Linked DNA regions of Tamandua tetradactyla. The protein of the gene in region 4 purifies or fractionates together with the protein of the main gene of each other region. This does not show direct contact. Links are inferred from orthologs where the notes say so. Each region holds a gene or a part of one and is shown on either strand. Other genes may lie near its edges. The genes, in order: KCTD10, BTBD9, KLHL9 and USP25.

The links.
Region 1: the proteins of USP25 (region 4) and KCTD10 purify together in Homo sapiens (affinity purification with mass spectrometry; 4 studies listed by BioGRID and IntAct, counting the BioPlex papers as one, with this or other methods). This does not show direct contact. The link is inferred for Tamandua tetradactyla from reciprocal best matches to the Homo sapiens genes USP25 and KCTD10.
Region 2: the proteins of USP25 (region 4) and BTBD9 purify together in Homo sapiens (affinity purification with mass spectrometry; 3 studies listed by BioGRID and IntAct, counting the BioPlex papers as one, with this or other methods). This does not show direct contact. The link is inferred for Tamandua tetradactyla from reciprocal best matches to the Homo sapiens genes USP25 and BTBD9.
Region 3: the proteins of USP25 (region 4) and KLHL9 purify together in Homo sapiens (affinity purification with mass spectrometry; 3 studies listed by BioGRID and IntAct, with this or other methods). This does not show direct contact. The link is inferred for Tamandua tetradactyla from reciprocal best matches to the Homo sapiens genes USP25 and KLHL9.

The regions. Positions count from the first base shown.
Region 1 is NC_135331.1:21,938,911-21,946,847, forward strand, and holds the start of KCTD10 (BTB/POZ domain-containing adapter for CUL3-mediated RhoA degradation protein 3), read left to right. Parts: upstream 1-5,046; coding exon 5,047-5,049; intron 5,050-7,937. Other genes in the region: UBE3B (ubiquitin-protein ligase E3B), read right to left, coding at 1-69, 220-402, 1,343-1,443, 1,969-2,019. UniProt on the Homo sapiens protein: Substrate-specific adapter of a BCR (BTB-CUL3-RBX1) E3 ubiquitin-protein ligase complex. The BCR(BACURD3) E3 ubiquitin ligase complex mediates the ubiquitination of target proteins, leading to their degradation by the proteasome.
Region 2 is NC_135331.1:95,853,260-95,860,295, forward strand, and holds the start of BTBD9 (BTB/POZ domain-containing protein 9), read right to left. Parts: upstream 3,022-7,036; 5' UTR 2,910-3,021; intron 1-2,909.
Region 3 is NC_135328.1:75,144,001-75,151,811, forward strand, and holds KLHL9 (kelch-like protein 9), read left to right. Parts: upstream 1-4,800; 5' UTR 4,801-5,185; coding exon 5,186-7,198; 3' UTR 7,199-7,766; downstream 7,767-7,811.
Region 4 is NC_135336.1:73,295,032-73,302,870, reverse strand, and holds the start of USP25 (ubiquitin carboxyl-terminal hydrolase 25), read right to left. Parts: upstream 3,005-7,839; 5' UTR 2,891-3,004; intron 1-2,890. UniProt on the Homo sapiens protein: Deubiquitinating enzyme that hydrolyzes ubiquitin moieties conjugated to substrates and thus, functions in various biological processes including inflammation and immune response.

The DNA.
Region 1 (7,937 bases), on a different chromosome or scaffold from region 4:
AAGATACACAATGCACTTCTTTTACTGGACTCAGTGTCATCTGCTTTAAATAACTCATCAATCTCTCTCCTAGGAAGGGGATGGGTTAAAAAAAAAGATATTTTAATTAGGAGCTCACAGTAGCTGGAAGGTTTTTCAAGCACTCTTAAGTGAAAACTCACATATTTACTGTTAATTGAGAGCAAGAGAAAAATACACTGAGGAGCTCCAGGTACCCACCTGATTTCTCTCTGCAGCTTCCGCCGACAGAGAAAACTCCGGACATGGGCCTGAATCTCGACAGCCGCCCGCTCCCGCTCCTTCTGTACGAGCCTCTCTTCTCGGGCCTGGCGGGCTCTATCAATGAACCATGCTCTCGAGGTTTGTGATACGGTGAACATGTTTGCAAACCTTCCACAAACCCTGGAAGGAAATCAGCAAGTAGCTGCTGTAGAATGTTATATGGAAAACACCAAAAGAAGAGGGCTCAAGAAAAGAAGGTGGGCAGACCTGGGCATCAGCAACGAGGCTCTCAGGACTCTCAGTAGTCTCCAAGGTTTAACAGCTCTCCTGGCACAAGTCTCAACTTCCTATTAGCTCCTTTCATGCAACTCACCAAGACCAGGGATGCTTTATCCAGGATTAAAGAATTGCATTTTCTTAAGAGAGAAAGAGCCTGTCATGCCAACTACATTCCAGCCAAGACTACTCCTGGTTCACTGTCTTAAATGTGTCCTAGCACATCACCTGACATAGGGTATGTGTTCTGTAAGGTTTAACGGATGAATCAATCACACCGATAAAGCTTCAAACCAAGTTCTAAGTCAAAGGCTCCTAGATATTTGATTTTCCTCAAGCAGTCAACAATATTTGCAAAGCCAATACTGGGCAGTCAAAGTCTTTATTTTTTTTGCCAATTAAAGACTTTGGGAAAAAAATCAAACAATTTTTTTCTGTCAGGTTGAAAACTTTGTCATTCAATCCTAAGTCCACTCTAGGTCCTGCTTGAAAAACACTGCATTGAATTATTCAAAAATCCAGACTTCCAGAAAACAATCTCTTTACCAGGTTATTTCATTCAAAGCAGCACCCACATGAAAACACCAAAAGAATAAAAAAGCTCGTGCTAGGCTACTCCCACATCAACATGTCGAGAAATCTCTGTGGCACCTTTTCAACACTGAAAGACAGTTGTGAACAACAATAGGGCTTTTCCAAGATGCGGATCTTTCATCAGAATTCTCAGAGTAAGATAACAGAGCCCTGACCACAGAAGAGGCAGTAAGAAGACTAGGGAGGAAAAGGTGGTCTTCTGAATCATTTACTCTTTTTTGCCCCAACAATGTAAACCTGGAAAGCTTACCTGAGGATCTGCCTGCGTTGCAGAAATGCCAGGTAATCATTAGTGATCTGGCACAGGACGCACAGCTGAGGACAGCTTCTCACTTCAGAAGGGCTTGTCTTCTCTGGCAGAAGCAAAAGTAAAATTCTATGTTTAGGACTGTTTTACAGGTGAGGCATCATATATCTTCCTCACTGAGTAAAAGTAATAAACGCAGTGCTTGTTTTCAAAATAACCCTTCTGTCTTTTTTAGTTAGCCTCTCACTCAACTTTTAGGACTGTGTGCCTGCAGTCCTCACAGGTCAAAGGGAACGGGTTGAAAATAGTCCCAAATAAAGTGGCTTCTTTTTCAAAATCTGAATTAAAGCTTTATATTCCTTGTGACAGCAAGCAAGAATAACACTTGGGGGCAATGGAATGTTTAAAAAGCCATTTAAAACTATGTTTGATATTTTTAACAACATGGGAAAATTGTTTAGGCTTTAGAAGTGGAAAAAAAAGGGCTGGTTATGAATCAATGATCCCAATTAGATAAATTAAGTGAAAGATGCATGTGTATACATAGATACACGACTAGGATGAATTACATGTTAAGGGTGGTTGTTTGGGATGGTAGAATTGTGGTACATCTTATTTGCTCACTTAACTGGTCTCTTATTTTCTAAATTTCCCACAGAAAGGACAAGATGAGGCAACATGGCACAGTGGTAGGTACACAGGCTTTGGAGTCACACAGAGCTAGAACCAGTCCCTAGCTCTGCCAAGTATGGTGGAGAGACGTCTCAGAGTCTTCCTGTCTTCTGTTAATTGCAGATAATAGAAGTTAGCTCAATTACAAGGCTAATGAGATGATGAACATCAAATGCCTATTGAGTTAGCCAACAGAGGCAGACAGTAAATAAGTCTGATGTATTATTCTTATAGACACAGTCTTGTTTTTTTTTTTTTTAATGCTTCAGCAGAGGCTCCCATCTACACAGACACTCGGGTTCTTTGAGTAGGAAATGATGCAGAACCCCCCACCATTCCTTGCCCCATCAATTTTTTTCTATTTCTGGGTACACCAAAATTCACCAGCCCCATTGCTTGAGCTCATGAACCCTAGCCTTTGTATTAGACTTGGTAAAAGCTTCAGGTTCCTGAGAGTTGCAAAAGAACTGAGCACAAGTCACAAACACAATGGTGTGCTCTTACACACACAGTCCCTCCATGGTGGGGAAAGTGAAGTCAAGGGGGAAGAAGGAGCCTCCTCCAAATGGAAAAACAGGAGGTTGCATGCAAGTTACGAACAAGTACCTTTAAGACTATCTCAAAACCTTCACTTCTTCCAGGGGGCCTTTCAGGATAAGATCCCTTCCTTCAGATTATTAAGCCCTCAGCAACACTCTATTTTGGTTTCTATTTATACCACCCAACAGTCTATACTGTGCAGTGTTTCTAATTATTTTTTATTTATCTCCTCAAGCCACATAGCACCTACTACAATTCACCAATCAAATAAAACACACAAGTATCTATAAAGTACTTACTCTGCTAAATACCATGGGGAATGACAGACAAAGGCTTTGTGTAGTGGAAAAAGCCTTGGATCAGCGAGTGTAGTCCTTGGTTCTCTTTAGTCCTGATTCTACCTCTTATTTTATCAAGTTTCTTATCCTTTCTAGGCCTCAGTTTCCTTATTTGTAAATGGAGGGTAATAATATTACCTACCTCCTAGGGTTGCTAAAAGAACTAAATGAAGTATTTACCCTTTTTCTACTTCAATTTAGTTACCACAGTACTGTGAATAGAACTAAGTGAAAATATTGATAAGGGGAATCTGAAAGTATAAAGCATGAATGTGAGCTTTATTATATTGTTCTCAGGAAGCTTAAGAAAATCCAGTTGGGAAAACATGAATTACATAGGTGGAAAAATTAGGAAACAAGATATTGGCAAAGGCCAAAATCATTTGTAAAGCAAGAGGAAACCAAGTTGAGTATTCATTATGTGTCAAGACCTTTTTGAGTGATCTCATCTATTAAGAATGGCAACCCTGTGAGATCATTTATCTCCCTCAGTCCAAGTTAAACCACTAGTGGTGGCAAAGTCAAGATTTTAACACCTATCTCTGAGGACAGAACTCAGATTCCTCTCTGCCTCTATATTCCCATGAGAACTGCCCAAAATAGGCTTTTCTGGGTCCAAATGATTGTGGATACACAGAAATGAGGCCAACCTTATGGAGAACTACAAAAGAGCATGGAAGTCCAGAAAGTATTGTTCAAAACGGAAGTGCCATAAATAACAACCGCTGATTGAGCCCAAGAAGAGACTCCCTGAATGGTGGGAATAGCTGGGTAGCCAGATTTATCCACCACGATTTAAGGGACAACCATGTACCAGACACCATATAGATATTTAACCAACCCTGTCTTTTCCACAGCTATCAGGTCCCAATAGTCTTTTCTTTTTTATTATTATTAGGTAACAGGGTTTAGACAGACTATTATTAATAGCTATCATTTAATGTAGACGACAGTCTATCGAGGTAGGTACAATTATCATTTATATTTTCTCACGGGAAAAAAAGAAATGCAGAGAGGACATGACTTGCCTGAGGTCGCCGGGCCCTTGAATTTGAACCCACTTCTGACTCTAAAGCAATTTTATTTATTTACAAGTGCAACAGACAAGGCTCAGAGACTCCCCCACTCATATAATAGCAAGGCTGTCCCTGGGATCAAATTGAAGTCAAATTACGATCAAGTCCAAAATGTTCTTTATTGATATCATTAACAGCTGTCTTTATTGAGCACTGTGTGCCTGGCACGATACTTAAAGCGTATTACGAACCGGCTATTACCCTACATTACAGAGGCGGAAACTGAGGCTCAGAGTGGTGAAGAAATTCGGCCAAAGTCACACAGCGTATAAATCAGTTTGAACTCCGGTTTGGGTGTCTCCTGAGACCTGGGGTTTTTCCTCGGCATCGAAAAGCACAACAGCAAATCCTTTTCTGTATTACGTTTATAAAGGGTTATTGCCCCGGAGACCACACGAGGTGGAAAGGGCCGCGGAAAGACTCCCAGGAGCTCCAAAACCACCTCCCAACACCTGCACCTCTGACCAGGCAGGCGGGGACCGGGCCCTGGGGCCAACTCCCTTTAAATCTCCGGCCCCACGGCCCGGAGTACGCCGACTCTATTCCCACTCGCTACCCGCCAGCCGTAGACCTTTACCCGCTCGGGAACCCCGCGCTCTGGGTCGGAGCTGCAGCTCCCGTCGCCTCAGCCCGATCCCCCCGAGTTCTGCCAGGCCCGGGGCCGCAGCCGAGGTTTGGCCGCCATCTTGCCCCAGAGAGTCCGCGCTCAGAGCTCCGCCTAGACGCAAGTATCCAATTCCGGGAGACTACAGTTCCGCATAGCCTCTGTGCCCGGCAAGGAAAATACTCCCGGCACGCCATCCTCTTATCGGAAACTGAAAGAGAGGAGCATTTAAGAGTCGGAAAAAATGCCTGAAACGAGAGGAGTGGGATCTATTCCGGTCGGGAAAGCGGGCTGGAAAGCGGCCCATGTCTAGGAGCACAACGGATGCTTTAAGATGGTGCCCTCAGCGGGGCGGAAGTGGGGTGGGGACAGTAGAGGGGCCCGCCTCGGCCGCGCCTCCGCTCCGGCTCGCGCGAGCTGGGTGTTTCCTGCCTCCCGCAGTCCGGGTGTGGAGACTCCGGCGTCCTCCGACTTTTCATGGTGAGGAGGACCGTGCCCACAACTGGGGGTCCTGGCTGGCCGAGGGAGCCTAGCAGTGGCAGAGCAGAGGGGAAAGGGACCGGGAGGAAAAGGCGCGATGAGGGGCGGTCGCGGTCACTGTAGGGGAGAGGCAGTTGGGGAATTGGATGAGGGCGAGGCCGGGGCCGGGGGAAGGGCTTTGGTGGGGAATTGGAGTCTCTGCGTTGGGGATCCGGAAAAGGGCGTTTTGATTTGGAATATCAAAATCAAATTTTTCATAGGTGGGTGGGTGAGGGCGGCGTCTCTCAGTCTTGCGTGCGTGTTGGAGATGGAAATTGGTGGGTGTGAGGAGAACAAAGAGATGCTATTGGAGACGCGTTTGGGGGAGTAAAATGAGGATTTGGGCGGGGGGAAGTTATGGAGAAGAAAGGATGGGTTATGAGAGAGTGAAGTGGGAATCCTTGGGGCGGAGCTGTAGGGGGTTTTAGAGGTTGTAGTAGGAGCGTCAGGGTTTCAGGGAAGTGGATATTGGAGTTCCAGGTGAGGCTGGAACATATGGATGAGTGGATTGAGGGAGTCGGAGGGTGGGTGGCGTTCGGTGCTTGGACCCCCAGGGAGAGATGCCAGGGGCCTGAGGTCAGTCTTTCGTCCCGAAATCCGGCGCCTTAGTTGTGTCCCGTATATCTATCTAGTCGCTTCCGGTGAGGCTCCGTGTGGCCATACCTGAGGAGCTGAGAATATTTTACATGCTGTCTCAGCCCTGGGAAGGTTTGCTTGGGGCTTTTCAAGAGTCTGTTCTTTGAATAGCTTGTCGTCCCTTAGTGGGAACAAGCAAAGGCCCGCCCGGATTTTCTTTTTACTTGTTTTCTCAGAGTCTCTTACTTGGGAAAGTGCATTCTTTCGGGAAGGTGAGTCCCAGAAAAAGAGTCAACTTGAGACGACTTTGATTGGTCGTCTTCATTTTGTACAAAGTAAGGATTGTTAGAGGGGAAGGAGAAGGCATAAACCAGTGGTTCTCAAAGAGTAGTCCCCAGATCAGCAGCACCATCACCTGGCAACTTGTTAGAAATGCATATTTTCAGGCCCTACCTCAGACTCCTGTATCAGAAACTCCCGTGAAGCCCAGAAGTTTGTTTTAACAAGCTTCCAGGGAAAAAAAATGATTTCCTGATCTGGACTATGTAATGAAAGGATCATGAAATTTGGAGTCAGAGGCCCCTTATTCTAATTCTCATTTGAAAAGTTGGATCGATGGTAATGTCCTCCTCACAACACCATTTGAGAATTAGGCTAATACATTGTGTGCTGCACACAGGAAGAGAATGTTGCTCAGCAGAACATCTGGAAATAAGAATAGCTGTCATATAAGCAGGTTTTGGATGCAAAATAATGCTGTAGTTATGTAGCTAATATTAGTTTGGTTAAAATGGAACAGAGTTTTCTGAGTTGTAGAAATGCTGTCACCAAAGTGAGTTTTATAGTTAGCCTCCAGACAATGTCTCTTACACTTCCCTGCTGAAAGAATCAGCTGAACTCTTTTTTTCCCATCAATCTCTCATGATTCTTAGATCAAGCTGGGTAAAGAAACACTTTTAGCTTAGTGATGCACAGCCCTGGCTGCATGATAGAATCACCTGAAGACCATTTTAAACACTAGCTACTGGGCTCCCCATTTTTATTCAGTTGGTTCTGGGTGAAGCTAAGGCTTAAGTATTTTTAAAATACTTAACATGCAGCGAGGCTGAGAACTGGTTGTAAGGAAAGCTTGAGGACCAGAAGGGAAACTGCGCCAAGGACTGTGTGCCAAATATTTTAACATTCATTCCCTGAGGGTTATAAAGATTATGGCTCTAAGACTCCAATTTTACAAGTTAGGAAACTGAGACTCAGGTTAAATTTCTTGCCTGAACTTCACACAGGAATTGATGAAACTGGGACTGCAGTCCAGGTTTGCCAGACTCTGGATTTAAGGATATTATGTAGAAAACATCTAAGGGGCCAGGGATTTGGAGCCTTTATATTCATTTTACTTAACTGGGTTTCCTTTGAAGTTAACTGTTTTTTTCTCTTCAGTGGGTTTTTATATTTTAAGCATGCATACAGTTACTCCTTGTCTTTGGCTCCTTTGTCTTTGTGAAGTAGAGGCTTACTTTTGTTTACGGTGCTTTGGTTTGTTTTTATATGTGGGTCAGGGATTACTTGTCGCCTTCTTAAGGGGAACAGAAGGGTTTTTTTGGGCATATTTTTTTAATTTTTTAAAAAAATATAACAAACGCAAACATTCTTAACTTTTGATCATTCCATTCTACATATATAATCAGTAATTCACAATATCATCACATAGTTGCATATTTCATCATCGTGATCATTTCTTAGAACATTTGCATCAACTCAGAAAAAGAAATAGACAACAGAAAAAAATTCATTCATGCTATACTCCTTACCCCTCCCTTTCATTGATCACTACAATTTCAATCTAAATTTATCTTAACATTTGTTCCCCCTATTATTTATTTTTATTCCATGTTTTACTTGTCGGTTGAAAAGGTAGATAAAAGGAGCATAGACACAAGATTTTCACAATCACACAGTCACATTGTGAAAGCTGTATCATTATACAGTCATGTTCAAGAAACATGGCTACTGAAACACAGCTCTACATTTTCAGGCAGTTCCCTCCAGCCTCTGCATTACATCTTGACTAACAAGGTGGTATCTGTTTAATGCATAAGAATAACCAAATCACACAGTCACACTGTGAAAGCTATATCATTATACAATCATCTTCAAGAAACATGGCTACTGGAACACAGCTCTACATTTTCAGGCAGTTCTCTCCAGCCTCTGCATTACATCTTGACTAACAAGATGATATCTATTTAATGCATAAGAGTAACCAGGATAGCCTC
Region 2 (7,036 bases), on a different chromosome or scaffold from region 4:
TCCAGGCCTCTGGGTTCCAGCAACTTTTCCCAGGGTGATTTCTTTCCATATATCCAAAGCCCTGGGCTGAGCTGTGAGTGTTGAGATGAGGTATGCTGAGCTGCTTGGGCTGTGCTATGTTGAGCTCTCTCATTTAATCACCAGATAATTAAATCAAACATCATTCATTACAGCAGGCACGCCTCTAAGACTGCAGACGTAATGAGCAACAGATGATGTTCATGTACCATTGGCTCATGTCCACAGCAACAGAACTAGGTACCTTCACCTGGCCAAGTTGACAACTGAATCTAACTACCACAATAGTCATAGCCAGCTCTCAATAAATATTTGCTGAATTGTTAAATAATACACATTGCTATAAATCTTAGGTTAGCAATTCAACTTCATGTTTATGCACCAAAGTAATTTATACATAAGATGATATAAATACAGACCAAGGGTTCAATATACAGCAGCAGCACTTTAATTATTCTAAAATCTGTTTATCTTTTTGTCAATATGTTTAAGTACCCTTCTTCAGATACATTTCTTTCCCAAAAGCATTATTTGTATTTGTAACAGAGTCAGTAGTAACTATGAACCTCAAAGGTTGCTGTTAAGAGATTATCCAAGCAAATCTGTGTCACTGAGCTGTGGCTGGTTGACTGCTTTGGTACAACACTTCATTTAATTTCCAGTGGAATAGCCCATGGACATCCAGCAGATTTTAGAAACTAGGACGTGCACTACTGACTAAATATATAAGATACATGCACATTAGTGAGGTATTTATTCCAATTAGCAGTTGAAGTTAAAAGTACACAGCGTGATTCTGGTTCAACCATAATATCCTTGAATTTCATTTAAAAATAACACCTATTCTCATCCAAGACTTTACTCTGAGTAAAGCAATCCCCATCTCACCCTACAGGGAGGCTCCATCTTGTGATGGGTGAGATGCTGACAAGTCTGTCTTACTCCTTATCACTTTCCCTTCCCAACCAGCTAAACCTTATCTGCCCTATCATAGAACTTTTGCTCCAGGTACCTGACACATAATTCTCCTCAGTATAATCCCCAATGGCCAAATTCACACTATTTTCTCAATGTACGATTTCTCTTCTGTATTTCAAATTTTATACTTCTTTCAAAGATAAGTTCAAATCCTACCACTTCCAAAAAGTTCCCTAATTCAGTTCACACAATTCTTACTTTTTTTCTGAATTTCTACTGCACTTAAAGTATAGTCCTCATAATCTGACACTTGTTTACACACTACCTTATATGTTTTTTTAAATTCTTTTATATAAATATGCTTTTTTCCCCCAGCCAGACTGTTTGTTTGTTTGTTGATTGGGTGCATGGGCCAGAAATCAAATCCAGGTATTCTAATAGCTTGGCAGACAAGCATTCTACCACTGAACCACCTGTGCACCCAACTGTTTGGTTTTAAAGGAAAAAAGTGAGGTATTCTCTGTCATTTGTAATCTTACAATCCTCCCACATTTAGCATAATACTAGATAGAGGGAACACATTTATTAAGTACTGACTGTAATAAATGCTTTCTACACATGGACCCGCCATTTGTGCACAATGTGATACATAACAAATATCTATTGCATGCCTACTCTGTGCCAAACACTTTTTTAGGTACCGGGGACACAGCAGTGAAAACAAACAGACGTAATTCCTGTCCTCAAAGTGTGATAGTCCAGAAAGAAAGAGACATTGAATTTTGCTAACTCTAAGTATTACAGAGCTGAGTTTTTATGGTTCTATGATGTAAGAACTTAGGCAACATATTTTACAGATTCTTAGTTATGAAACGAAATCATGAATTTTAGAGCTGAATAAAATTTTGAAGTCATTTTCTTCAATTTTCTTGCATAAATAATGATTAAATTTCATTACACCCTATCTTTTTGTTGCCTTAATCAACAGAAAATGAGAAGACTGGTTTCTTTCCCATCTTTAATACTTTTCCTTCCCAAAGATGGTAGCTAAAATTACCACACATCTACCCACAGGGTAGTCCCATACACTGAGTAGAGATGATGGCTTACTGAACCTTTACGCCCAAGCTTCTCTGATTATTTTCCACCCCATAGGTTGGTCATAATTTGTATTTTCTGACTACTAAATAGCAAATCTATACTACTTTGAGGAAGAGAGAGAAAAGATCTTCCATACTTCGTTTGCCCTAAAAATGACAAACGAGAAATAAAACAATAGATTTCAATCTATGAGCAAGTAAGAAATGAGGATAGATATGGGTCCCTTGAACTCAAAATCCGTGATGACAATATGACAGATAAAGTTTTATGCGAGCATTAAGCACGTGCACATACATGTGAACTTGGAAACCAGGCAACAGGTTGGCCGCCTATACTGACAGATCGCCTTGCCCAGTCGTGGGCGTGTCTAAGACTGCACACAGTCAGTGATTCACAACTCTCCATAACAACCAGCTCCTGCTCGGGACCCAGACAGGGCAGGGATGATGAAGGTCCCAATAGTCCCCAACTTTCCGAACCCGAACCTTAGTGTCCCTGGTTCCGCCTCCTCTCGGTCCTGGACAATCTTATCTCAGGCAGGATGCGAGGTTTTGCTAAAAACTAGGGTTTCTCCTAATTCGAACTTCTGGTCGGGGGCCTAGCAAAGCCACCCTAAAGTTCCCAGACCTTACTTCCCTCCCCTCCACCCAAGGTGGCAGAATCTGCCCCTTGCTACCGCTTCCCAGAGCCTTCGGGTCAGAAACTGACCCTCGTCAGCCCCCGTCTTCGTTCCTTCCTCGCGCCCGGAAAAGCGGCAGAGGGGCGTGGAGCGGCGCGCGCGGGTGCGAAGTAGGCGCGCGTCCCCGGGCCCCGGGTCTGGGTAGCAGGTGCGGCCAGCGCCTGTCAACCCTGCGAGACCCCCAGCTACTCACCCCTACTATGTTCCTCTGAGACCTAGCCGCCGGCACAGATCTCTCTTCCGCCTGCTCCGTGCCCTCCTCGTAGCCACCGCCCCCCGGGCCGCTGTCGTCACCGTCACCGCCGCCGCCGCCGCCGCCGCCGCCGCCGCCACCGTCGTGGCGCGCGTCCGCTCTCACGCACACCGCCGTGGCCGCGCACGCGCCTCTGCGCGCTGGCGTCACTTAGCAACCGCTCGACCGTGGGCGGGCAGGGTCTGAGGGTTTAGAGCGCAGAAGTTCCCTCAGGCGGTGTTCTGCGGCTTTTCCCTACAGGTCCGACCCTCTACCCCTACGGAGCAGGGGGCCCTCGGGTGTGGTTGACCTGCTGGCACCTGCCCCCGGGTAAGTCACGTCACCACACGTCACTGTATGGTGTCACTGGTGTGCGTCACTGCGCATGGAAAGGTCCCCACCGTGATTGTCACCGCGATGTTCCAGGGCTGGTGTGGTGGAGAGAGCCGAGGCCTCGTCCAGACTCACGCCGACACCATCGGCAACTTCAGCAAAACGCAAGAAAGTTCTCAAAACAGAAGGACCAGGAGAGGGGCTGAGTGCGCCTTTAATATTACTCGTTAATATGTTGTGATACTCCTTAATTTAGCAGCAGGTTATGATGGACAGAGCCTTGAATTTGGATACTCGCGCCCACCCTGGCAATTTATCATCAACGGTGTTAGGCAAATCGTCTAATCACCCATACTCTTAGTTTCCTCATTTTTTAAAGTGGGAATAATAATATGCGTTTTGTCAACATAGGAGCATTGTAAAGCTAAAATGAAGCAAGGTGCAAGCGGGCCTCGTAAATTGGAAAGCCCATTGGACTTTAATTTTTATTATAAGAAAAGGCAATCGAGCAAGAGAGGTTAAGAGTATGGACTTTGTAATCAGAGAAACCTGGGTTCAGATGTGGCGCTGACCGGTTTTAGCCAGTTCTTCTTGAGGCTGGGAAGGTGTGTGTGTGTGTGTGTGTGTGTGTGTGTGTGTGTGTGTGTGTGTGTGTAGGGGGATGGGTGGGAGGAGTAATTGGAAAGGAGATCATTCCAGGCTTTTCTTCTTGAGGCTGGGAAGGTGTGTGTGTGTGTGTGTGTGTGTGTGTGTGTGTGTGTGTGTGTGTGTGTGTGTGTGTGTGTGTGTGTGTGTGTGTGTGTGTGTGTGTAGGGGGATGGGTGGGAGGAGTAATTGGAAAGGAGATCATTCCAGGCAAGGGAAGAGGGAAGTTTCGTGAATAAAGGCACAGAAGTGAAAGTGGACAGAAAGAACAAAGCTTTAGGCAGGGAAATCGATTGGGATTGTTTGTGGTACTCCGGACAAGAAGTGATAAGAGCCTTAACCAAGGCATTGACCCTGGAAATGTTGAGGAGGCAATGTGAGGGCTATTATGGTGGTTGAATGGACATCACTGAGTGGGGGATAAATGAGCAGGCCAAGTTTCTAGAATGGATGTTGGAATATATGGTGGTAACATTTAGGAAGATGGGAATAAAGATGAGTCTAGGTTATTCACATGTTTCTTATCTAAATTATAGATAGTGATGGTGACATTCCTAGAAGGATGATCAGATTTCTGGGGTATGATGATGAGTTCAAATACGGATATCTTTGTTGGGGAAACACTTCTCCACTCAAGATGTCTTCTTCCATGTTGAACGTCATCCATTAGTACAATACTGACTTTTCACAGTACTTTGCCCCCAACTCTCTTAGGGCAGAGTGACTTCCTGACTGGTGAATTTGAAAGGAGAAACTATACACAGCCAATTCCCTTCTTTTCCTCTTAGAAGAAAGCTGCCTTCAGGGAGCTGTTGTGGTGTTTTCTTCTGCTTCTCTAGAAGTAGGGCCTGGGGTTGAAAGTGAGGCTTCCTGATCCAGGTTGATGCAATGACTAAACCTGTTTAGTTTCAGAGTTTGGCATTAGGAAGTTCTCTGTCTGCAATAATATTCAATAGCAACTTTGTCAGTTGTGATAAAACTGAATAATGGGCCCCAAAAGTTGTACACTTTATAATCTCTGGAACCTGTGAATATGTTGCTCTACATAGCAAAAGGGTCATGACAGATTGGGAATTTATCCTGTATTGTTTGGGTGAGTACAATGTAGTCATAAGGATTCTTATATAACAGAGAGACTAGAACATCAGAGTCAGAGAAGGAGATGTGATGGAAGCAAAGGTCAGAGAGAAAGAAATTTGAAGATGCTGTGCTACTGATCTTGAAGATAAGGCCCAGGAAACCAGAAAGACTCTAGAAACTGGAAAAATCAAGGAAACAAATTCTCCCCTAGAGCTCCCAGAAGGAATGTAGTCCTGCTAACACCTTGTTTTTAGGACTTCTGACAATCAGAACTGTTAGATAATAAATTTGTATTGTTTTAAGCTACCAAGTTTGTGGTAATTTGAAACTACTATATTCAGTAGTAAAGGTGGTAGTTAGTCTCCTGTATTCTCTGTGTAAAAGAAAAGTATAATTTATTTGCCTCTCTCAGTGTGACTGTGGCTTGATAGAACTGATACATCCAGTTGTAAATACACAAGAAGCAACCAAACTACACAGTTCTATTAATGAAGAAAGAAGTCTGAGTTAAAATAAAATAGATTTGGAAGATATTAGCCTATAATTTAAGCCTTAGACGTGAATGAGATCAAGCAGGGAGAAAACATAGGAAAAATAATAAAGGAGATCAAGTATAGAACCCTGGGAAGATGAGCAAAAGCCCACAAAGAAGTCTGAGGAAGAGTGGCCAGAAAGATAAAAGGGGAACTAAGTTGAGTGCAGATGCCTCAAAGCCAAAGTAGGGAAAAAAATTTAAAGGTGAAGAGGGAGTCAGAGTCAATTATATCAAGGGCTGAAAAGCATTGACTGGATTTAGCAACAAAAGTGATTGGTGACCAAGAGTAGCTGCTTCTCTGGTATAGTGGAGATAGAGGGCAAATTGCTGGGATCTGATAAGGCAGGCCAATATGGTAGATTGTCTTCTGGACTGGTTGGTGGGAGTTTGAGATTCTAGTCTTGGCTCTGGCCATTAAAAAGCTAGATAACCTTCTGTAAATCACTTAACTTTCCTGGGCTTTGGTGTTCTCATTGTCAAAGGAAATGATCAGGCTGAGTCGTATCATTTTCGCAGTAATTCCTGAATAATCCCCCAATTTTATGTTAAATTCATTTGCTTATAAAAGCACACTTCAAATCCTACTCATTTTACCAAACATTGAGAGCCAGTTTATACTATGTGCCAATTTCCGACCAGATACTATGGATACAACACAGTTATTTAAAAAGCACACAATTTAGGAAGGGAGATAAACATATAAATATTTAACTAGATACAATAAGTACTTTTTGAAACAAAGCAAGATATAGATTAAAGGAACTATAATTATACTAGAATTCTGTATAAAATGAAATGGACTATAGATGAGGGAGCATTTAGTTCTGCCTAATGGAAATCTAAGTATTGTACTTACCTACTCTGTCAGATAGGTAAAATGTGCCTCAAAAAATAGACAAAGCTATAGGCCATTACATGGGAATGAAAAAGACCAGGGAGCTGTATGTGCTAAGCTGATTGCTTAACAGTTCTCACAGGTAGTTTTCTTGAAATCTGAATGAATATGTATATACAGTTCTTTCTAAACTAAATAAAGCAATTAATTGGGAAAAAATGGACAGACGTAAAAGTTTAATGCAAAAGTAATTTATTTACTTTTCAACCAGTCCAAGAAGAAAATAATACTTTTTATTATATGCTCTGTTATATTTGCTACTCTAATTCTTATTATATTATCTCACATAATTTCACAAACATTACCTTACTGTATCAACAGCTGACATTATATCCCTGTTTTAGCAGATGGGGATACAAAATTTACAATGATAAAGCTTAAGGAATTTAGCCAAGGTCATTACAGCACTTAAGTAGTAGACCAAGATTTAGATCCAGCATAGGTAGCCTCTCTCCAAGAAACCTTCCCTCAGGGATTCCTCAGCAAGTTTAAGTGGCCTTTCTCTGTACTATTAGTAGTATGTGCCCACCTTTCTTTTAGCATTTACTGTACTAGTGATGGTACTACAGGACTGATTGTAAAAGTTCAGAAATGAATAGC
Region 3 (7,811 bases), on a different chromosome or scaffold from region 4:
GCTATACAAACAAAGCTGCTATGAACATTCCCGTACAAGTCTTTGTGTGAACATATACTTTTGATTCTCTTTTGTAATTATATTGAAGTGGAATTGCTAAGTTGTATGGTAGTTTACCATTTTAAGAAACTGCCAAAATTTTCCGAAGTGGCTGTACCATTTTCATTCCCACCAGTAGTGTATAAGAGTTTCACTTACTTCGCATCCACATCAACAGTTGGTATGGCAGACTTGTAAACTGCAACCATTCGAAAGTCCTAGTAGGGGTAGCTCATAGTTTAAAGTGGCACTTTTCTGATGACGATGTTGAGCATCTTTTCAGATGCTTATTTTGCCTTTCATAGAACTTCCTTGATAAAGTATCTCTTCAAATATTTTGTCAGTTTTTGGGAAGTTGTTTGTAATCTTACTTTAGAGTTGTAAAAGTTCTAAAGTTCTAAATCTAAGTACTTTTTTGAATAAATGTGTTTTCTAAGTCTGAGTCTTTTCATTTTTATAACAAAATTCAGTGAAAACATTTATAATTTTGACTAAGTACAACTTATCAGTTCTTTTGTGGATTTTTCTTTTTATATTATTTCTAAGAAATATTTGCCTTACCAGTGGTCACAATTATTTTTTTCTTTTTGACATCTTATGGTTCCAGGGTTTGTAATTAGGTCTGTGGCCCATTTGAGTTATTTTAGTAGATGGTATAAGGTACAAATAAGATTCTTCATTTTTTTGTATATGAATGTCTACTTGTACCAGCACTCTTTTTTAAAAAATATTACCCTTTTTTAATTGGATTGCCTTTACACCATAACTGAAAATCAATCAACAATATATGTGTGGCTCTATATCTACATTCTTGTCAGTTCCATTGATGGTCTAACTTTACTCCACAAATAAAGGAATCTGGAGGAAGAGAGGGACACATTGGTTGGTGGTGGTGACGAAATGATATGGTGAATGTCTGTTTTTCAGTCTTCAAGTTTCTTGCCAGAATTCAGCTGACTTTTGTCAGCTGGTCAGCTCCCAAGAGACAGGTGTTCTAGTTTCAAACTATTTTATAGAGAAAGACCTATAATATTCTTGTATAGGTCAATATTGAGAAAATGAAGGAATCATTTTTTTTTAATTTATTAAAGTGCTAACTCTAATAAGGGATTATCCTAGGTGCTTTAAAATGTACCTGCATCAGTTCTAGATGTTTTTTTAATCTCATTTTCTATTTGAGAGGACTGAAGCTCAGAGAACTTGAGATGTTTCCGAGCAGATTGGGGGTTCCAAGCAGAATCCCATGAGGTGAGTTAGGGAATGAGGCTCTAAGTTTTGTATTTTGGATTTCTGTGATTTTTATAATCTACTTTTTACTTGCAGAATTATTCTCCTTCTCCCTGGGCTACTGCTGCTGCTGTTGTGTGTGTGTGTGTGTGTGTGTGCATGTACGTATAAGTATAGCAATGCTTGAACATTTAGAAGAAACCTTGGTTTAAAGTTCTGCTTTTGCCATCTTCAGATTCTTAATAGTTTTATCTTTGAACTTGTGTTTTATGAGTAAGTTCATGGGAAAATGGAGCACGCAGATGAGCATATGGAGATGGTCAGACAGCAGTTCTTGCATGTCCTAGTCTTTGTCTACTATTGTCTTCTGGAAAGAGAATGCTTTGCTAAGTAAGTTTAGGGGAACACTAAAGATTATGGCTTCTTGCCCTGCTACTCACTTTAAATATACTCTTCTGGACCATCTCATACCAAGCTGGGGCATCAGCACATAAGCGTGGCATCTCAGCATGGTCAGCAAAAAGGAAACCTTGAGGCTGACAACTCTGCTGATCTGTTTTCTCTTCTCTGATGGTCCAAACATTATGGCACTGAGTAAGATAAGGTAGTTCCATAGTCAAGACAGGGGGTGGATCACCTGGCCTACAGACTGAACACACAAAGCTATAGGGAAACTGAGTCAACAAAGAGGGAATATGGCTAATTCTCTTTTGGCTAGGCTAAAAGAATGGATCTTGTGTTCACAGCTGGAGACTGTGATACAGTAATGGCAGGAGAGATCTCCTTGAAGACCAGATGCCACCAGCACATGTAAAAGGTCCATCATGGGGTGGGATGCTCACAATGTCAGAAGGATATCTGAAACATTCTCATAGTTTCAGACACTAGTAGGGAGAAGACGTAGAAGGAGGAGTCTCTGAGAGATGGAGCAATTTTATCCAAGATAAACTAAAAAGCATTTAAACAGAGCATTTGAAACATGGGATCAGACTAAATTTAAAATAAAATTGGGTCCTCTGCCTGGTGCTGTTGCACACCAGGCCAGGCTCTCAGCTGCTCAAGAACAGTTCTGGCTGCTGCAACCAGTGCATGTGCCCCCTCCAGATGGCACTTAGCAGGCGTTGCTCAGTTTCTGAATTAAGAGTACAGATAACCTGCCTACCAGCACCAGCTGTACAAAGAAACTCTGGTCAGTTTGTCTTGATGACAGGTTTGGCTTAGCTTTTCTGGGACGTGATAATACCCATGTTGAGGTTAGCATGGCCAGTGATGGATGTGAAGTACATCATTTTGATCTTAATGTAAAAATAGTTCACATTCTGTAGAGTTAGCACCTTTGGTATCTCTGCCTGTCCATGGGCTGCCCATCCTGCTGTTGCTGCCCTGAAACACCAGAAAACTGGGAACCATCTTGAAGAAATTTAGGCATCACAAGATTGATATTCTCAGGACAGATCTGGAAAGTGCAGAATAGAATGTTTTGGGAAATCTTTATTTTAGAAGATGACCTTGAACAGATTGGACAGCTCATCTTCGAGATCCATCTCCACTGGCCCAGGTTCAAGGTCAGTGGTAGGGACAGCAGTGTCATGTGCTTTTGGTACAGACTCCTCTAAAAGTTGGAACAATAGGATGTGCCAGGCTTTTTCACAGTTATAAAGACATTTAAACCTCAGCTATTCCTGAAGAAGACATTTTTAATGCAAGTAGTAGTTATAGTCTGAGTTGGGTGAATATGAGATGGAAATAGAATGTGGGGGACACATCAAGAACCCAAGGAGATATTTGCAGAGTGGAGCATGTCTTTGGTTCTAATTGTCTGTTTAGTTGCCTAGTCTCCCACCAGCCTGCTGCCTTCTCACGGCAGGGATTATGTTATCACCTCTGTTGTGCATATAGCCTGGTGTCTGGCATGTGGTAGGAGCACAGTAAATACTTGTGGAAGGGATAAACATGGGAAATGCTGAGAGAGTCGAAACCGCTTACCCACACCCAAGCTCTTTGCCTTTTTGCTTTTGAATTGGAATTACTGTACCAAAACATGTTTCTAAAATTGGAACTACTGTACTCTAAGAAATACTCTATTTGTGAAGTCCATTTGTAAAGCCAACATCAATCTCAGTCTCTTCAATAATGATCATAATTTTTATACCATGAAAGCATTGTAGCATAGCAGTAAAGAGCAGAGGCCCTAGAATCAGACAATATGAGTTTGGATCCCAGCTCTCCCATTTCACAGTTGGAAATTAACCTTCTTTTCCCCTCAATCTTCTCATTTTAAAAATGGAAATAAATTTTTCCTGTAAAATTGTTGTGAGAATATGTAAAGCATGTAAAACGCCTGGAATTTAATAAGTCCTGAATATTTTTCTTTGACTATTTTATAATTGGAAATCTCTTTTGAAATTGCCATATCTTTAGTGACTAATTAAGTTGATTTTTTCTTTTTCTTTTTTTTTGCATGGGCAGGAACCGGGAATTAAACCCGGGTCTCCAGCATGGCAGGAGAGAATTCTGCCGCCGAGCCACCATCCCACCGCCCTAAGTTGATTTTTTAAAATCTATTAACCATTTGTCTACTGACATTAAAAGAGCATAATTTCATGTTGTGGAAAATGTTGGAAGAAATAGTGTCAACGTGTTCATTCATTTGTATGCCAAAATTTTAACTTACAGTCACGTATAGAAATGCAAATTAATAAAATACCATAAAGGCAAAAATCGGCGGCGTGGGGGGGGATGCACACTCCAATGTTGCTGGAAACAATAATTTGGAAAGATTCATTATGTCTTCAACTAATATCCTACTGTTAGGATTTATCCAAAACCAGGGGAAAGTTTTGAGCCCAGATTCTGTAAGTTTATTACAGATTCTATACAATGCACAAGAATGTATAGACCCAGAAACAAATATTAGGCAAAGCTAACAATAGCATATAATTGTTGGAAAATTGTGTAGCCATTTAAGAAGTTGAGAATGAAAAACAAAAGCATGAAAACATGATGGAATTGGGAGCGAAAAACTCGATATATTATTTACATAGTATGGGGACAATTTAGTTTTCAGACAGGCAAATTATATGTGTTTTAAATGATTTAAACCCGAAAATATGAACAAAATTATAACTGAAGTGGCAGTTAAATTGTTTGGGATAAGAATTACAAAAGTGTTTTATAAAGAAAAAATATTTAAGCCTCCTCTTCCCCAACCCCTCCTCTACGAGGTTTCCTTTCAATTTACCGGAGAGCCGTGTTTCACTGTAATTAACACGACAGAAACCAGGAAGTGTAAACCTTAAAGAAAAAGTATGCATTTGGAGAGAGAGTTCGGATGCCGCGAGAGATGTATACGAAGTGCGGTATAATATGCCCGCCTTAATCGAGTCCCTCCAGAGGGGCATTTGCGGAGAGCCCGCTTCTCCCCGACGCCCTCCCCGCGTCCCGCGCACTTCCCCTCCCCTCCCCTCCCCCCCACGCCCGCCCACCGATGAGCTCAGACGGATGCGCAGCCGCAGTGGCTGCCGCGGCCGCTCCTAGCCCGGGGCATCCTGGGATTCTGCCTTTGCGGAAGGACTGGCTCAGTGTCCCGGATTAGGCCCGTGTTCCAGGCCCAGGCCGGGAATTCCAGGCTCTTGTTCGGAGATAGCCCCGCAGGCGCGGCGACGGTCTGGTGACAGCGGAGGGCGCAGCCGGCTGCACGCCGAGGTGCCCGGCCTCGCCGCTGAGCGAGCCGCGGAGCCTCTGTACGTGGCGGCGCCTCCCCCTTGGCCTGGAGCGGAACTGCTGCGGGAGCGGCTTCGAAGGCCGGACGAGGTGAACCGGGTCATTTAACTGCCGTCAGGTGATGAATCATCAGCATAATATTCAGATTTGAGGTCCGCATCCCTTTGTGGTCCTGCTACAAAGCAGTTTTCAGTGGATGACTGACAGAAGTGTCCTGAGGGGCGCCACAGTGACTGTTCTTGATAAAGAAAGAGAGCTCTCCCGTTTCTTGGGAGACAATCTTGATTCCTTTAAAACGTTGAGGTTACTGCCTCTTTCCGGGAGACATCTCTCTGTGCAAGAAGGCGGCTTTCACATGAAAGTGTCACTTGGTAACAGCGAAATGGGTGTTTCTGCCCATTTGCAGCCTTGCAAGCCAGGAACCACACGGTTTTTTACCAGCAATACGCACAGTTCAGTGGTATTGCAAGGTTTTGATCAACTTAGAATAGAAGGATTACTTTGTGATGTGACCCTGATACCAGGTGATGGAGATGAAATCTTTCCTGTTCACAGAGCTATGATGGCGTCTGCTAGTGATTATTTCAAGGCGATGTTCACAGGTGGAATGAAAGAACAGGATTTAATGTGCATCAAGCTTCATGGCGTGAACAAGGTTGGTCTGAAGAAAATCATTGATTTTATTTATACTGCAAAACTTTCTCTTAATATGGACAATCTTCAGGACACACTTGAAGCTGCCAGTTTTTTACAGATTTTACCTGTTTTGGACTTCTGCAAAGTATTTCTTATATCAGGGGTCTCTTTAGATAACTGTGTTGAAGTTGGACGAATTGCTAACACCTACAATCTTATAGAAGTGGATAAATATGTTAATAACTTCATCCTTAAGAATTTTCCAGCATTATTGAGTACTGGAGAATTCCTAAAGCTCCCATTTGAACGGCTTGCCTTTGTGCTTTCCAGTAATAGTCTGAAGCACTGTACTGAACTTGAACTCTTCAAGGCTGCTTGCCGCTGGCTAAGGTTGGAAGACCCTCGGATGGATTATGCTGCAAAATTGATGAAGAACATCCGATTTCCACTGATGACACCACAGGACCTCATCAATTATGTGCAGACAGTAGATTTCATGAGGACGGACAATACCTGTGTGAATTTGCTTTTGGAAGCTAGCAATTACCAAATGATGCCATATATGCAGCCAGTAATGCAGTCAGACAGAACTGCCATTCGATCTGATTCAACTCACTTGGTTACATTAGGAGGAGTGTTGAGACAGCAGCTGGTTGTCAGTAAAGAATTACGAATGTATGATGAAAGGGCACAAGAGTGGAGATCTTTAGCCCCCATGGATGCTCCTCGTTACCAGCATGGCATTGCTGTCATTGGAAACTTCCTTTATGTAGTTGGTGGTCAAAGCAATTATGATACCAAAGGAAAAACTGCTGTCGATACAGTTTTCAGATTTGATCCTCGGTATAATAAATGGATGCAAGTTGCATCATTAAATGAGAAGCGCACATTTTTCCACTTGAGTGCCCTCAAAGGGCATTTGTATGCAGTTGGTGGGCGCAGTGCAGCTGGTGAACTGGCTACAGTTGAATGTTACAACCCAAGAATGAATGAGTGGAGCTATGTTGCAAAAATGAGTGAACCTCACTATGGCCATGCTGGAACAGTGTATGGAGGCTTAATGTATATTTCAGGAGGTATTACACATGACACTTTCCAAAATGAGCTCATGTGTTTTGACCCAGATACCGACAAATGGACACAGAAGGCTCCGATGACTACAGTCAGAGGTCTGCATTGCATGTGTACAGTTGGAGACAAGCTCTATGTCATTGGTGGCAATCACTTCAGAGGGACAAGTGATTATGATGATGTACTAAGCTGTGAATACTATTCACCAACTCTTGACCAGTGGACACCAATTGCTGCTATGTTAAGAGGTCAGAGTGATGTTGGAGTTGCTGTCTTTGAAAATAAAATCTATGTCGTTGGTGGATATTCTTGGAATAATCGATGTATGGTAGAGATTGTCCAAAAATATGACCCTGAAAAAGATGAATGGCACAAAGTTTTTGACCTTCCAGAGTCACTTGGTGGCATTCGAGCTTGTACCCTCACAGTTTTTCCACCTGAAGAAAACCCTGGGTCACCGTCTAGAGAATCACCTCTTTCTGCACCTACAGATCATTCCTAGGAGTAAGGTGTAATACTTTTGCAATGGATCATGGGTGATCTCATATTTCTTCTTTGGTTGTATCTCTTCTTACAGTGATTGGTACAGTTATAAGATAAAAAGGTAACTGATGTTCTCTGTGTTGTTTGTCTTAGTATATGTAGGAAATGATTAACAAGTGTATTCTGAAAATGTATTCAGTGTAGCCAGCTGTTTTAACAAATGTAAAGAGATGTGTTTAGAATGTTTAGACGCCTTTTTTGTTGTGCTGTATAAATCAAATCGGAGGTTATTGCAGTAAATGAATGATTATGTGCATTATGTATCAAATTTGAAAGTTTTCTTTTCATCTTTGACTGCAAAATATCAAGGGAGGCAGACTCTGCAACTGAAAATAAGCAAAAGGTTGCCAAGTATTTTTAGCTACCTCCCTCTTTTCAAGGAGTTTTGCCATACTTTATCAAATCACCAGATTGTGTGGGCACATTCAGACTATGTGAAGTTTCTCAGCAGACAAAAGAAATAGTAAATTAAAAAAAAAAACAAAGCAGTTTAGCTCTAAATCATGGATCTTGTATCTGTGGAGAGAGAGAAAGGTAGATGGGGGCTACAATATACTAAATTAACAACCAAA
Region 4 (7,839 bases):
ATCTTAGTTGAATTTGAATACATATTTAATTACCTTCAGATATGGGTACTAAAAGTCTGTCTTATGACTGTTGTGTAAAATAAACCTAATCATCCATACATTCAAATTTATCCTAAAAAGAAGTTGTGCATTAAAAACAGGGTATTATGTACTAACAGGGAAAATAAAACCGGTTTTTAATAGGGAAAATAGAACTTTTTGTCATTAAAACTTGAGTCTTTTCAATGTTTAATATTAGATTTGGGCAAATTCATTGAAAGCAAATAAAGCTGACACAAAATTAATTTTACATAATCTACCATTTATAACTAAAGTACATTTTTTATAATAACCTTGGCATCTTGATGTATATACATTTGAAACGGTTCTTTTCATCTTTAGCTTTTTAATTTATATTAATATAAGACTAGGATAGATTAAGTATTTTTATTTTACTTTTGAACTTAAGAGTACTATACTTTAATAAAACTCACAGGAACAATACTTCTTTGCCAAATTTTTAGCTAAAATTTTCACATTCTTTTTTCTGCTACAATATTATTTATATATGTGCTTATCAACCACACATTTTGTATTTAACATTTAGTCACAAATTTTTAAATATACACATAGATTTAACTTCATACATATTGATTTAACTTTACTATCCAGTAATCTCAGTAATATTACAGGATGCTGAATCTCTGTAACATCATGTACAATAAAGATATTTAAATATTTACTATTTTAGCAATTAATATTTTGATTTAACTATTTAAAATGTTTAAATATTAGTAAAAATGGATTAACTAAAGTAAGTTAAAATTTAAAAGACAATGAATGAAAAAGAGCACTGTCTTTAGAGATTTTCTTTTCAATCCAGCAAAAATGAGGATCTCAAACAATATATATGTATTAGATTAGAATAAACAATACTGGATTAGAAAATAGTCTTAATCTTTCAACTCTGAAGTTAGCTTTGCCTTTTATTCTCTATTACATGCTGTTTCCAGATTATTAGAGAACACACAAAACAGAACTGCTGATTTGGTACATACATTTACAGAATTTTTTCTATTTTATGCTAATATAAATTCATATAAACAAAAATAAGCACATAATCTTTAAAATAAGAATTGCTGAGCGGGTCACAGTAGCTCAGCAGGCAGAGTTCTTGCCTGCCATGCCGGAAACCCAGGTTCAATTCCCAGTTCCTGCCCATGCACCAAAAAAAAAAAAAAAAAAAAAAAAAAGAATTGCATATTACATAGTCTATTCTATTTTATAACCTCTTTTTCACATAACATCATCATTTCTCTTTAATATAAAATCCAACTGATTTATTTCATGTTTAAAATATTTGTCATCAAAGTTTAACATTGTCAGGCTATATAACTGTTCTAGAATTATTTCATTCCATTCACTTCTTAAAAAAAGTCAAAATCTAGTTTATATAATTTATCCACCCTTCACAAAATAAAACTAATTAAAATGGCCCAAGAAAGACTGACTACACATTTTTGGTTTTACATTAAAATTAAATGATATTAGCTACAATTCAAAGGGGGACAACAAATTTTAATTACATCTTCCCATTTAATATAAATGTCTTACAAGTTTCCAAAGTAATATTTAGAGATATTAAAAAGTAAAATTAAAATTTATAAAGAATATGACTTTGCTAAAGGAAGCATTTCAAGGTTATCTCCTACCATAAAGTAATCTCAGATTATTTAGAAAAAAAATTTGCTATTGATATGGTGTCAATATTATCTGAGAAAACTAGAACATTCTGCTACTAACCTATTGTGTTACAGTGAAAAAGCACTGGAGCGAACAGATCCATATGAGCTGTGCTTCTTTAGAAAATCATTTTACCTCTTAAGCTAAATTTCTTCTTCAGTAAAATAGAATTATCACTGCCCACAACAGCTATTTAGAAGATTATACTTAGTTATAATCTAAAGCGTTTTTTTAAAATCAACATTTCTAAATTTGGAGTAAAATGCTGGTGATCAGTGAGGGGGAGGGGTGGGGTATATGGTATACATGAATTTTTTTCCGTTTTCTTTTTATTTCTTTTTCTGAATAGATTTAATTGTTCTAAGAAATGATCATGATGATGATATGCAACTATGTGATGATATTGTGAATTACTGATTACATATGTAGAATGGAATGATCAAAAATTGCGAATGTCTGCGTTTGGTGTTTTTTTGGTATTTTAAAAAAAATTTTTAAATTAATAAAAAAAATAAAATAGAATAAACATTTCTTAGTGATGAAACCAAATTCATCTATTTGATCCATAGGTGAATCAAACTGCTTCAAAGTGAAAAGTTTAGGCTATTAAATTTTAAAAAATACACTATATCACACAGCTTGGATTTCTTAAAAAGAAAATACTCTATAAACATACTACAGATTGCCAGTCAGCAAACTACAGTCCAGGTGCCAAACCCAGCGGGCAGCTGTTGTTATAAATTAAGTTTTAATGGACACAGTCCTGCTCATTCACCTCTATGCAACAAAATGAATATGGCCCACCAAAGCCTAAAATATTTACTCTTGGTCCTTAAGAGTAAACACCCCTGTTAATAATGACTGGAAGCTGAAATTGGTCAGTATATCCAAAAAGGAACTAAAGGGAAGAAAAAAATGGAGAATTATTAAAACACAGTCTTAAATTTAATCCTCTAAAAGACTACTCTCAAATCCTAAAAGTAAAGTTTCAATCACAATCAGAATTAAAATATGAAAATTTTGGTTACATAAAACATAAAAGTAATATAGAAGTATATTAATAGTTGTTTAGAGTAATAAAGTATATCTTATTGCCTTTTAAAATTAAAGCCAATTATTATTTCCGTTATAGTATTTACATTTGCTTTATATAAATTATACTTTTTACCTGCTAATGGCTTGCTCCTCATCAGTTATTCCAGTCTCCCTGAATGCCCTGTTCGATTCTGCCAAACTCAAGGCAATTGCCCTCTGAAGATCATCTTTATCATCTCCAGTGAGATCAATGACATCTGAAAAGCAAAATTATCTTTCTCAAAATTAAAAGTCAAACAAAATGAAAAGTAATTCTTATCAAATATCAAATATATGCTATTGAACCAAAGTCAATATCAACTTAATTCTGTATTTCTTTATAAGAGCCTCTCTGAAGAGAATGAAAACATTTTAAATTGGTTATACTTTAATTAATCTTTTTCTTTAAAATATATCTGAAGCAACAAAAATATTCTTCATTGCAGAAGAATCTCAGGATTTACTCTATGATCTCTGACTAGAAGCTAAAAGGAAGACTAGCAGACATTTTCCTTACCAACAAAAATTGAAATCAACACAACTAAATATTTATATCTATGAGTTCTAAAATTAACCCAAATGTACACAATTAAATACCTCATCAGCTTTAGCAACTATTTTTTCAAAGACATTAACATTACAATTTGTCTACACTACCACTTAAACATTATTTAACAAATTATGATAATTAACAACTGAGCCCTTGAAAACTGTTTCAGAAACTACTTGACCACAGATATATGCTTATATATACAATTTTTAATTCTGAAACGAAATGTCAAACTGTTAAGTGTGGTTAATTTCAATGAAGATAATTATGAAAAGGTAAAGAACTTTCATTTCCTATTTTAAATACTTCTGCCCCATCTGAATTGTTTTATATCATGCAGTCCTTTTTATGTCAAACAAAACTTTTATTTCAGGTGAAAACAAAGAAATTTACAAATAAATGAAATTGTTCCTCTTTCAACAAAAGTTAAGTAGCTTTAATGCTACTCTTCTTCTTACAAAAAATAAAGTCTATAGCTTTTACCACCTTATATAAAACTTCTTTTTAAGCCAATCTTCTAATATATATTGATCAACATTTTTAACTCATAAAATGACAATAAGAAATATTCCCATTGTCATTTAAACAATGATAGGGACCGTGGAAAACTATTACGTAGGAGAGAGGTAACAGGTTACAAAACAATGTGAAGAGAAAGAAAAAAGAAAAATATCTGTTATTACCTTACATTTAAGTGGATGGGATAATAATATTAAGATGTTCTGTGCCTGTGGTTACATATGTACAGATGATAAAAAACAATAGTAGGTAAACTGCTGCAACTTAGCATAAATAAAGGCAGAAGCACCAAACTGTATGAGTATCCACTGTATTACATACATGCATACTCACTATTAAAAAGCAAAACAAAACAGTTTCACCAAAGAATGTTCTTGATGAAAAGGCAAAAATCAATTTTATTAAATTATGACTTACATGTTCTTTTAAGTCTATGTGTTGCAATAGAAAGTATGTATAAACTACTTCTGCTGTATATCTAGAGCATGTGAATTTCTAACAACAACAACAAAAAAACACTAGTACAATGTGTGAGTACAAGGTGAACTAGCTGCTTTTTCATGGAACGCCATTTTTACTTCCATGAAAACTACAAACTATAGTTGTTCAGATTTGAGTATTAGGAAAACATTTTCTCGAAAACAGACAACGTAACACATTCAATTTAAAGAAAACAAATGAGAGTGCTTGTTGTCAATGATTAATTTCCAGATTTAAAGCAAAAATCTGAACTTTGGAAAACTTGTTTCCTCTGCCAGTATGCTTGATGTCTCCACAACACTTAAGGCTTAATCTGGTGAGATAAGTGATGATATTAACAGATATGTTTTTTAGACCATAGATATTTATCCAACAGTTGGAAGAAAATATTTTCCAATAAACATGCACAATGTTAAAAAATCACGCATGGGCAAAAGATCTATTCAAAGGGCAAAACTGACAATGGATTTTAACGTAACAGTAAGAAAAGATGATATATGTGATTCTGATTACACATTGCAACTAATCAAGTTCTAATATAGAATTAAGAAAGAATATTTTTATCTGAACAAGTACTGCTCCCTTTTCTAACTCTATATTTGCATGAAACCAGATTTTCTTCATATACTTTAATCAAAACAATGCATCCCAACAGAATGAATGCAGAAGCATATCTGAGACTTCAGCTATCTTCTATTATGGTAGACAATAGAGATTTGCAACAATATAAAATAATATACCCCTAATTTATTTCATAAAAATATAATTAATTTTTAAAAATGTGTTATTTATGCTAACATGAAATGGATTATTTTAATACGAATAATTTAAACTTTCGTTTTAATTTCTGATACCACAAATTTTGACCAAAATAACTCATATAAACAAAAGGCCTTCGAAGTCAATAAATTTTAAGGCTGTAAAGGGGTCTTAAGATCAAAAAGCCCTGACCACATGATTCATACATGGCAAAAACCATGGTGCTTTAAAGCCAAAATTAAGAAGCAATAGCTTCCTTGAGACAGAATATTCCGTCTCTTTTTTGCCCCCATCTCCAACCCAACCTACTGTCTTACACAGAACCTGCCACACACACTGATATTATCTGCCCTGGCCTTGCAGGGAGAAGACAAGGGACTATTGATTCTTAACTGACAAGATGGGACTTTATACTTTAAGCAGTAGAAGTTCATTATTTGCAGTTTCACTATAATCAACAATGATTTTTTCCCATGTTTCCATTACTCCATAGAGCTGCTTCTTTTCACATTAGTATAACAAGCCTGAAAGAAACGTATTATTACCTTACTCATATACCAAAAACATTTGCTCTTAAGACCATATATTAAGAAAGTGCAAAATGTTTTTTCATACAGAATGGTTAAACTTGAATTCATTCTCTGGAAATAATGAAGCAATGATTTCTCTAAAACAAGGAATGCTGCAACAATGTTAGAATGAAATCTATCCCATGATTTTCTTATATGCTCATACTCAAAAAGGGACAGAGAATAAATAAGGCTAGCCATAAACAACTGCTAACTAAAAATGCCTCTGTAAAAGTCCCATTCAAATACCAAAGCATTATGAAACTCTTATACCTGTGTCAGGGTAGGTTCTTGGTAAAACACCACTGCCTCTGGTATCAGTGTAACACAGTTCAATGATGCATGTGTGGAAGCGTTACTTTTGGATAACACTTGTAGAAAATTCATGTTACAAAAGCATATAAGCAGCATTACAAAAGCATATAAGCAGTAATCTCCAACATTTTCAACAGTGCCTAAAGTAAAACATTTTCTCTGCAAAATCAGAAATAAACATCAAAACACAAAACTCACCATAATAAATATTTTATTTCCCAAGGAAATACCTTTGTACTAGCTTAAAAATCAACTACCAAATATTTATCAGTCAACTCCAAAAATAAATGCAGTCATCAACTTACTGAACTAGACTTCAAAGGTACATGCTATGTATAACTCATAATTTATTTTCCCATAATAATATTATATTAAGTGAAATAAAGTTTCCGAATTAGTTCACAAAAGCCCATATAACCCATAACCTAGTTCAACTACAATTCTCTATACAAAAGATTTGGATTCTGGAAGAAAAACAATGTTCTTCCACCTTTTTCATTATCTTCCTAGGGAAGGGACTTGTAAAAAAAAAAAAAAAGCCCAGTTTATTTTTAAAACCAGCAAAGATTTCTTAAGGCAAGGGAGTGACATGAGCAGGACTCTGTTTCTGTACTGAAGAGTTAAAGGGTTGAGCAAGAGTTTAAGAAGAGGTAATGAGAATATGACCAGATGGAAACAACTAAAAGAAAAAGCTGTTATACAAAAACTGAAAAACTTGCAAACTGAATGGCTTGGAAAAAAAAAAAAATTAGGCCATCAGAAGATTAAAAATGCTGTTAAAAGAGAAAGGCAAATGGAATGATCATATGCTAAGAACGTTTGTGTTGTTCATTGTTATATTTATTTTTTAATTGAAAAATTGAAAAAAAAAATAGAAAGGCAGATATGAATAGAGGGATGCTCAGTAAGGAGATTGGAAATGTTTCCCACTCCACTTTTCCATCTCCTCTCCCCTCAATCAACCAGCTCCCTCCCATAAAGTGTTACTACTTTTCTGATCTTCTCACTGCTACAGAACTCAAATTCTATGAAAAAGTGCTTTACAATAGAACTTTTGTGATGATGGAAATGTACTATTATCTGCACTGCCCAACATAGTAAGCACTAGTCACATACAGACTATTTTGGAGCATTTAAAATATGACTAGCACAACTTAGGAATTGAATTTTTTTTTTGTTAAATTTTTTATTGAGGCTTCACTACATTTATATATTAACTTGGGGGGAAATTTTTTTTTTTTTTTTAACATGGGCAGGCACCAGGAATCGAACCCGGGTCCTCTGGCATCGCAGGCAAGCATTCCTGCCTCCTGTGCCACCGTGGCCCGCCCAGGAATTGAATTTTAATATTTTCAATTAATTAAAATTGAAATTTAAGTTGTCATGTGTGATTACCAGCCACGCCATGGTACTGAACACCTTAACTCTTAGTGGTCTAGTTCTGTTCTTAATCACAGCTGCTAAGATTATAATGGCAGCATTAAGAAGTAAGGAAGAGGAATACTAGGAAGCCCTTCCTGAGTTTCTGACATGAACTTTATTATGTTTTAACAATTTGGATTATGAAACAAAAAATCAGATGTTAATATTCTGTATTTGTCAACAAAGAGAGCAAAGTTCCATGACTACTAGTCTGCCGAAAATGCACAGAAAGTTCATTAATTTATCCTAGTCATTCTACAGTTCATATCTAAAAGAATATGTCTATTTACATTTAATCAATATATGTAACAACTTTCAGATCATTTCAGAATCTCACTTTTAAGTATAAATTTGACTTGTGATGGACCATCAAATAGTTCTATTCACTAGAAATCTCTGTGGAAAAAGAGACTTTATTGTATTTCTTTT